2 linked regions of the Cricetulus griseus genome follow. The protein of the gene in region 2 interacts with the protein of the main gene of each other region in a pairwise test. Links are inferred from orthologs where the notes say so. Each region holds a gene or a part of one and is shown on either strand. Other genes may lie near its edges. The genes, in order: Efemp1 and Ric8a.

The links.
Region 1: the proteins of Ric8a (region 2) and Efemp1 interact in binary tests that used the Homo sapiens proteins (3 or more experiments, as listed by UniProt). The link is inferred for Cricetulus griseus from reciprocal best matches to the Homo sapiens genes RIC8A and EFEMP1.

The regions. Positions count from the first base shown.
Region 1 is NW_023276807.1:78,378,895-78,382,706, forward strand, and holds part of Efemp1 (EGF-containing fibulin-like extracellular matrix protein 1), read right to left. Parts: intron 2,127-3,812; coding exon 2,004-2,126; intron 1-2,003. UniProt on the Homo sapiens protein: Binds EGFR, the EGF receptor, inducing EGFR autophosphorylation and the activation of downstream signaling pathways. May play a role in cell adhesion and migration. May function as a negative regulator of chondrocyte differentiation.
Region 2 is NC_048596.1:60,341,186-60,345,637, reverse strand, and holds the start of Ric8a (synembryn-A), read left to right. Parts: upstream 1-1,430; 5' UTR 1,431-1,483; coding exon 1,484-1,567; intron 1,568-1,863; coding exon 1,864-1,911; intron 1,912-1,999; coding exon 2,000-2,590; intron 2,591-2,891; coding exon 2,892-2,983; intron 2,984-3,444; coding exon 3,445-3,595; intron 3,596-4,452. Other genes in the region: Bet1l (BET1-like protein), read right to left, coding at 158-419.

The sequences.
Region 1 (3,812 bases), on a different chromosome or scaffold from region 2:
ACAGGATACAGGCATAAACATGTTACTCCACAGAATTCGAAGATCAATAATAGAAAGGTGTACAAGGGACAGAGACAGTAAGCAGCTCAGTGGCCTGCTGACTGTGGTGGTCCATGGAGGACTGGGTCAATCCATAACAAGTACCAAAACTCAGAGTACATGTTTAGCCATGGCAATTGAAACCAGCACAACACTTTCCTTATAGTTTATATAAATATCAGACTTCAAGAGATTGGAAATTTTCAAAAAAGATCTACTTCATCTTAATTGGTAGGGAGAAGAAGTGACTAGTTATATTTGGATAGATCCTAGCTCCTAGGGGAGGTGACTCTGGGTTGGGATTTGATAATGAAATGGGGTTTTGTAAGGGAGTGTCTCAATGTTCTGGAAAGAATGTGTATAAATGTGTGGCACAGAACCATAATCAGTGAGAAGAAGCTGTGATACATCTTGGGAGGAAGGGTACTGATGCAATCAAAATGATGAGGAAACCCTATTTATGTTCTACTGAGGAATGTAGAGCTACTTTTGTGGGCGAGGGCAACATCAACACACACATGATGAGATATGAGTTCTGCTTTCCACTTCCCTTCCCATAAAGGCTGTCTCTCTATGTTCCTTTGTCTTCAATTCTCCCAGCAGTGGAGCGTGTTACTACTGTTCTTTTAGGCCCTCAGTGTTTATTTTCCTGACTAACCCAAAGAGCATAGCTTTGGCATCTGTGGAGTTTTCCAGTGCTCTTGCTCTGTGTCATAGCTTCCAGCATTACAAACCCTGGTTCTTCCTTGAGTCTGGGCACCCATTCCAGCACCTAGACACAACCCATGGCAGGCAGAGCCAGCCATGGTCTACAAAGAGCTGAGTGCTGACATTCTTATGTCAACAGCTCACATTCTCAGGTAGAAGTTGATGCTGGCTGCCTGTCCCCAAACCCTCACTCTTGGCTCCTAACAGAAAATCTGGCCTTCCCACTGGTCTGTGGTAAAGGGTTAGGTATGTAAACAGATGGGCAGAGGGAGCCAATCCTAGAGGTTCATGACTTCTGCTAGGCCTCTTGATTGAGCCAGAGAGCTGTTTTACTTCACTGCAGGCCAGCCCTCAAATTGTGTTCTTCCATTCATTCAGAATGTATGCAGACAATTTACCACCTGGGCACTTTGTGGGTACTGTGGCATCAGCACCGACACAAGCTGACATGGTCCTAGACCTCAGGGAGGTCTCCTGTCATCATCAAAGACTTGCAATGTAAAGAGGCTTTAGAGCAGTGGTTTTCTACCTGTGGGTCATGATTCCTTTGTATATCAGATACCCGTATATCAGATATTTATATTACAATTTATAACAGTAGAAAAATTATAGTTATGAGACAGCAACAAAATAATTTTATGGTTGGGGGTCACCACAATATGAGCAACTGTATTAAAGGATCACAGCATTAGGAATGTTGAGAACCATTACTTTAGACTATGTTAACTCTACCTGATGATCCCAGCCAGCCACATGGCACAAGACCACACATGTGCTAACTATTGGCATCTATGAGCTCCTGAGTTGGAACTAGTGCTGCTTCTATAGGACAAATGACTATAGTGATACAGAGTAACCTAAATAGTCATAGATTCAAATGACAGTTGTGGTAGAGGGGGCATTTGACCTCAGCATCTTTCTCATGCACCATGTTCCTCTGTGTAGTGGCAAGTGAAGCACCTGTCAACAGTATGTTAGTGACACAACCCCTAATTAGTTAACTCCTAATTTATTTAGTTCTTAATTGTTTTTATAGTTCCAATCAGACTAGATTTTTGCTTTCACTTAGTCTATAGTACTTTAGTATTCAGGGTAGGCTCAACCTTAAGGTTCCTGTTGGCAGTCAGAAACTATATTGGTCGTCCTTGGAAGAGGAAGCAGTTGCTAGCTATCATTCTTCAATCAAGTGGGAGGGCTTTGTTTTGTTGCCTAAAGTTTCTCAAGACAGGAGTCTTAATACTATACCAGGGACTTACCCACACACTGCTCTCCTCTCTTCTGATACCCCGGAAGACACTGGCATGTGAAGGAGCCACGTAAATTGATGCACACTTGATCTTCTCTACAATTGTGGGTCCCTGAGGTGCACTCATCGATATCTGAGAAAGACATGCAATATAGAAAGAATTCCAGTTGTTTGTGAAGATATGGAGGCTTTCTTCATTCGCCACTTCATTTTTCATAAACTGAATTTTACTTTATTATTAAAAAGCATTATAATATGTTATGTTGGAGACATTTAAAATGCAAATGCCTACAAAATAATTTCAGAACTATAGTATGTACACCTGAGATTTAAGATGTCCTAACAATTTTCATGCCTGTCTTAGCCCTTTAGCTGCTTTCAGCTACAGTTAAAGCCTTAATCCATCTTCTTCCTTTTATCTATCACTTATCACTTTCCAAGTAGGCATGGATACTTTCCTGAGACAGTTTTATACTTTATTAGACAGAGATATGCCTATGAGAATAAATAACAGATCCTTGGAAGGTTAAGGCAGGAGGATCTCCAATTTAAGTGTAGCCTGGGCTACAGAGGAAATTCAAGTCTAGCCTTGACAACTTAGACTCTATCTCAAAGCTGTAAGTAAAATGAGACTACAATATAACTCATCAGTAGAACACTTTCCTGTATGTGTAATGCCCTAGGTTTGATCACTAGTAGCATGTGCATGTACACACACACACACACACACACACACACACACACACACACACACACACAGAGAGAGAGAGAGAGAGAGAGAGAGAGAGTTAGATTGCACAACTCCTACTTTGGCAATAAAATTGTTTCGTATTTAAGAGAATTTCTTAAGCCTTACTATTACATATTCTCTGTTGCTGTTTTGGGCATATTTTTCTCAAATGGTAGACTAACACAAGTGTAAAACTCAAAATGAAAAGCATCAATTTGATCTTATTCTTCTAGGAGAGATGTTAGTATAGGTCAAAATACATAGCTTTCTAAGACATTTTACTTCTGGGAATAATTGCTACATGTGTCTTCAGTAGGAGGCAAGTCAAAGTTCTAGAAAAGAGGTGAACTTACCAAAGAAAGCCAGCTTCAAGAGTTTGTTCCTCACTGAAGTGTGGTAGGAATTTAGTTACTTGTAGGTGGAATTCATTTTCCCTTATCTACATCATTCACAGTCATTAAAAAAATCACATATCCATCAGGAAGTTAGATTTTAAAAGGGGGCTACATAGTTTTGGTATTCTCTAACAACTGAAGAGTAAGCTTTAATAAAAATGTCATAAAATGAGTAATTTCTAGATGACTATTTTTTTTTGGATGGAACCAGATAGACTTGCTGGGGAAGGGATCTTAGATCATCACTGTGGTAGACTCAGGGTTGTGGGTAGAGAATCAATGAAAAGAAATTAATTCTCAACAATGAGAATCAACTATGCTTTCTGTTTTCTATCTACAGCAGAGAGTGGCCCTTTGTGTTATTTTGCTTTTGATTTTTCTGGGAAAATTGAATTGTTGCATGTAGTGTCATAAAGTAAGCTCTTCATTTCATAAGAGGGCCATTCTGAGATAACCCTGCACGTAGCCGGGTGTGGGAGCAATAACAGAGACTCTATACAGAAAAAGAGGGAAGGAGGATGAAGATGGACCAGTGATAAAACCTAGTAAGGCTTTCTTTGACACATAATTCTTGGAACCTGGTTTTAAAACACTAATAAGGTTTTCTGTTGTTCTGAAATGCATTAATGCTATCACTGTGATGCTGTTTTCCAATTTAGCACAGAGTGCCCTTTCTAGGTGAAAGGCCCTGGAG
Region 2 (4,452 bases):
AGGCTTGGGTCCCAAGGCGGCGCCAGCCGCAGTCTGTCTCTGCTTTTCCTGGAATACGTAAGCGCCACCCCCCACTAAGGTTCCCTCCACCGAGAATAGAGCGATGGCTCCAGCTCTGGACTTCACTTCCTATCCCCCTACCCTCGGATGCCCTCACCGCGAGTCCAATCAGCCATCTCGCCCTCCAGAGCCCCACTCTGGGACACCGCAGCACAGCGACGGACGTGGCACCGGCTCCTGGAAGAGGCTTCCGGTTCCGCCTCAGGTATAATAACTTCCGGGAGAAGGGACTGGAGCGGAAGAAACAAAAATGAAGTTGTTCCATGGAATGTAAATAAGGGAAGGGCGGGCCGCCTGCGTTCGTGCCCGCGGATTGGCCAGCAATAGTAGTCCCGAGATGTGGGTGGTACCCGGAGCATGAGCTCGGGCACAAACCGGGAGCTGAGGCTGGAAACCGGCTCGGTAAAGCTGCCGGATGCCTCGGGCGCTGCGGAAGCCCGAGTGTGAGAACTACAAGATGCGGAGGACGGACAGAACTGAAGGAGACTGGCGAAGGAGACGCCAGGGCCTGACACCGAGCAGGCGCAGGGCACGCGCCGGTTAGCTCAGCGGGTGGCAGATCATCCGCTGGAGCATGGCTTGTGTGTCACCGCGAGGTACACTCTCACCGACCATGCCTCCAGCCACGCGGAGTGCGGACCCGGCTCCCCAGCCACCCACCCTCTACCCAGCGTTGGAACGCCTCTCACACTGACGGGCCGCGGCTGGCCGCCCCTCCATTGCCCCTCCCATGGGAGTGGCTTTCTCCGGGTGGTTTTCGCTTCCCTCTGACCCTTCCTCATACACTGGGACTTTCTTTTTCCTTTGATGGCCACATTGTTTTTGATGGTTCGGTCTTTCGTTTGTTTTAAGGACGGTCTCACTATGTATCCCTGTCTGGCCTAGAACTCACAGATCTGCCTGCTTCTGCTTCTCGGGTGCTGGGATAAAGGCGTGCGCCACCTCGCCGAGCTATCCGCTTTATTTTGACCACCCGAGTCGTTGTGTTTGTCTTTCCCGCGGAGCATGAGCTTCAGGGTCTGGACCGTGGGGCTCCAGCTGACTAAGCGACCAGAAGATAGTGCTCCCTTCATCTCTCTCCCTGTTCCCTGACCGGTGCGTAAGGAGGGCGGTCCATGCGGGGGCCGAGACCCCACCTCCACGCCCCACGCCTGCTAGAGAGGAGGGAGAAAAGGGGGGCGAGGGGATGCTACTTGGCTAGCTAGCGCCGCTGTTCCAAGACGAGCCGCTCGGCGATCGCGGCCAGGTGGGCTCCACCTTAAACCGGAGGCCCGCCCCACGCCTGTGCACACCCTTTCTGCTCGGCTGTGCTCCCGGCATCCCTCACGCGTGGACTCGGGGCTTCCGGACCTGGGCGGAGCCCGCGGGTTTGGCCGATTGCGTCTTCCCAGCCCAAGCCTTCCAGCACCCGGTGCCAGGGGCCATGGAGCCCCGGGCAGTTGCGGATGCTTTGGAGACGGGAGAGGAAGACACAGTGACAGAAGCTCTGCAGTCGTTCAACCGGGAGGTGAGAGGCACCCGGCTGCTGAGGAAATTTCTTGGAGAGAGGAAGCAGTGGTGTGCGCGCAGCGCGGCCGGGGTGTGCGTGCGAGTGTGGCAGGGAGCACGGCCTTGGGAGGCGGGCTGGGCCTCGGGGGTTTCAGTGGTGGGGCAGGTGTAGGGGAAGCGAGGGTGGTGGGCCCTGCCTTGCGTTCAGAGCAATGGCTGCTGCCTCAGAGGTAAAAGCAGACCGGCTGCCCTGACTCGAGGAGCACAGGTCCTACCTGCGCGTGGACTTGAGCCTACTGGGTCTCCTCCCTGCAGCACTCCCAGAGCTTCACCTTCGATGATGCCCAACAGGAGGACAGGAAGGTAGGTGCCATCCCAAGGGGCTCCTAGGGCAGGCATGGGCTGCCCCAAGAAGAGGGACTGGTGGATCCACTTTTGTCCCTCCCCACAGAGACTCGCAAAGCTGCTGGTCTCCTTACTGGAGCAGGGCTTGTCACCGTCACACCGTGTCACCTGGCTGCAGACTATCCGAATCCTAACCCGAGACCGCAGCTGCCTGGACTCATTTGCCAGCCGCCAGAGCCTCCATGCACTAGCCTGCTATGCTGACATCACCATCTCAGAGGAGCCCATCCCACAGCCCCCAGACATGGATGTCTTACTCGAGTCTCTCAAATGCCTGTGCAATCTCGTGCTCAGCAGCCCCGCAGCGCAGATGCTAGCAGCAGAGGCTCGCCTGGTGGTGAGGCTAGTGGAGCGTGTGGGACTGTACCGCAAAAGGAGCTATCCCCACGAAGTCCAGTTCTTTGACCTGAGGCTCCTTTTCCTGCTAACTGCCCTTCGCACTGATGTGCGCCAGCAACTGTTTCAGGAGCTGCACGGTGTGCGCCTGCTGACTGAGGCGCTGGAACTGACGCTGGGGGTGGGCCCCAAAGAAAAACCCCCGGTGGTACTTCCGGCCCAAGAGACAGAGCGGGCCATGGAGATCCTCAAAGTGCTCTTTAACATCACCTTTGACTCTGTCAAGAGGGAGGTGGATGAGGTAAGTTGTAGCCTGAAGTCATGGGTGGGACTCAGCTCAGCTGGGACAGTTTTGTGGTTTTGCTTCCTTCCTGCCTCAACTTCCTGGGTGCCAGACATGGCAAGGATAATGGGACATCAAGGCAGGGAATCCAAGGAAGGTTTCTGAGCTGTGTTGTGGGGGTGTGTTTGTGGGAAGGCTTTAGGTGGCCAAAGGTCACCAACTGTGCTGTGGACAAAGCCAAGTGATCAGCTCCATGTGGCCCTGGAGCACTGGAACAGGGGACTCCTCCTTACAGGAGCCATTTTCTGTCTTTGGTTAGGAAGATGCTGCCCTTTACCGGTACCTGGGGACCCTTCTGCGGCACTGTGTGATGGTTGCTGCTGCTGGAGACCGCACAGAGGAGTTCCACGGGTAAGGGGCAGGACTTACCGTGTGTTGACAGTGGGGAGAGTACTTAGGCATGGGTACCCTAGTCCTCAGCCCTAGGTGTCAGTAGAAGCACCAGGTCCCACCGTAAGAGTATGACTGTCAGAGGGATGGGAAACCAGAGTGTTCCCAGAGAGCCCCAGGAACTCAGAATATGACTAGGGGAAGAGCTAAGGTGGAAACAATGGTGGCCCTGGCATTGTAAGGCAATGGTGTTCCTGCTGGTGGTGACCAATAAGTACCTCACCTGACTTGGTATCTCAGCTCAGACAGAATGGGACAGGCAGAAGTTTGTCTCCCCACCAAACTTGAATGGAGTACTACCTGCCCTTGCCTCTAGTCCTCGGTGCTGTCCTCAGTCCCCCATATCATGTATACCCCAGGAGAGGAGCCGGGGATTACTTCTGTGCTAGAGTTACTCTGTCAAGGCCTCTGTCTGTCCCCAGCCACACGGTGAATCTCCTGGGAAACTTGCCCCTCAAATGTTTGGATGTCCTTCTCGCCCTGGAGCTACACGAAGGATCCTTAGAGTTTATGGGAGTCAATATGGAAGTGATCAGTGCCCTTCTTGCCTTCCTAGAGAAGCGTCTGCACCAGGTAGGTGGAGGACCTGCTATGTTGTGGCTTCCATTTCTGCACCAGGGAGAGAGGTCAGCTTGAAGGTATAACTTGGACAGTTTCTCTGGTTGCTCTGTGGCCCCACCAGAGATAGCTATTCAGTCAGACCCTCTCCGAAGCTTGTGGATACAGCTTGTGTGTGGACCTCAATGCTGCTGATTCCCAAAGAAAAGCAGGCTTCTCAGGGTCTGCCAAGGTGAATGTTGTCTTTTAGGTCTCTGCAGTTCCCTGTTAAGTGATTCTCAGAAGCCTTTGGTTCCTGCTTCCCTAATGTTCCCATACATTGGCAGCCATAGGTGACAGCATTAGTTGTCCTGCATCTTTTGTTTTTTGTTTTTTATTTTTTATTTTGGTTTTTCAAGACAGGTTTTCTCTGTGTAGCCCTGGCTGTCGTGGAACTCACTCTGCAGATCAGGCTGACCTCAAACTCAGAGATCAGCCTGTCTCTGCCTCCCAAGTACTAGGATTAAAGGAATGACCCCAACCCCCACCTCCACCCCCACCCCCGTTGTCCCTCTGCATCTTAAGGAGACATAACCAAGGGTTACCTGACACCTACAGTTATAATATGGGACCAGAGAGCTGGTGATCTAGCCTATCCTGTGGAGCTCACACAGATGAAAGCCATAGATAGAGGTTCATTAGATCTCCGAGGAGCCATAGGGTGCTCAGCACCTATGAGCTGGGTGAGGACAAAGAAGCTAGTGTTGAATATGCTAGCTGTGACTGCCTGCCCTTATTGCTATAACGGCTGGTATTGGACTCCAGGGAGATAATGGGAAGGCAGGGAAGGGATAGGTACACTGCTTGCTGTCCATGAAGCACTGTGGTTAAGG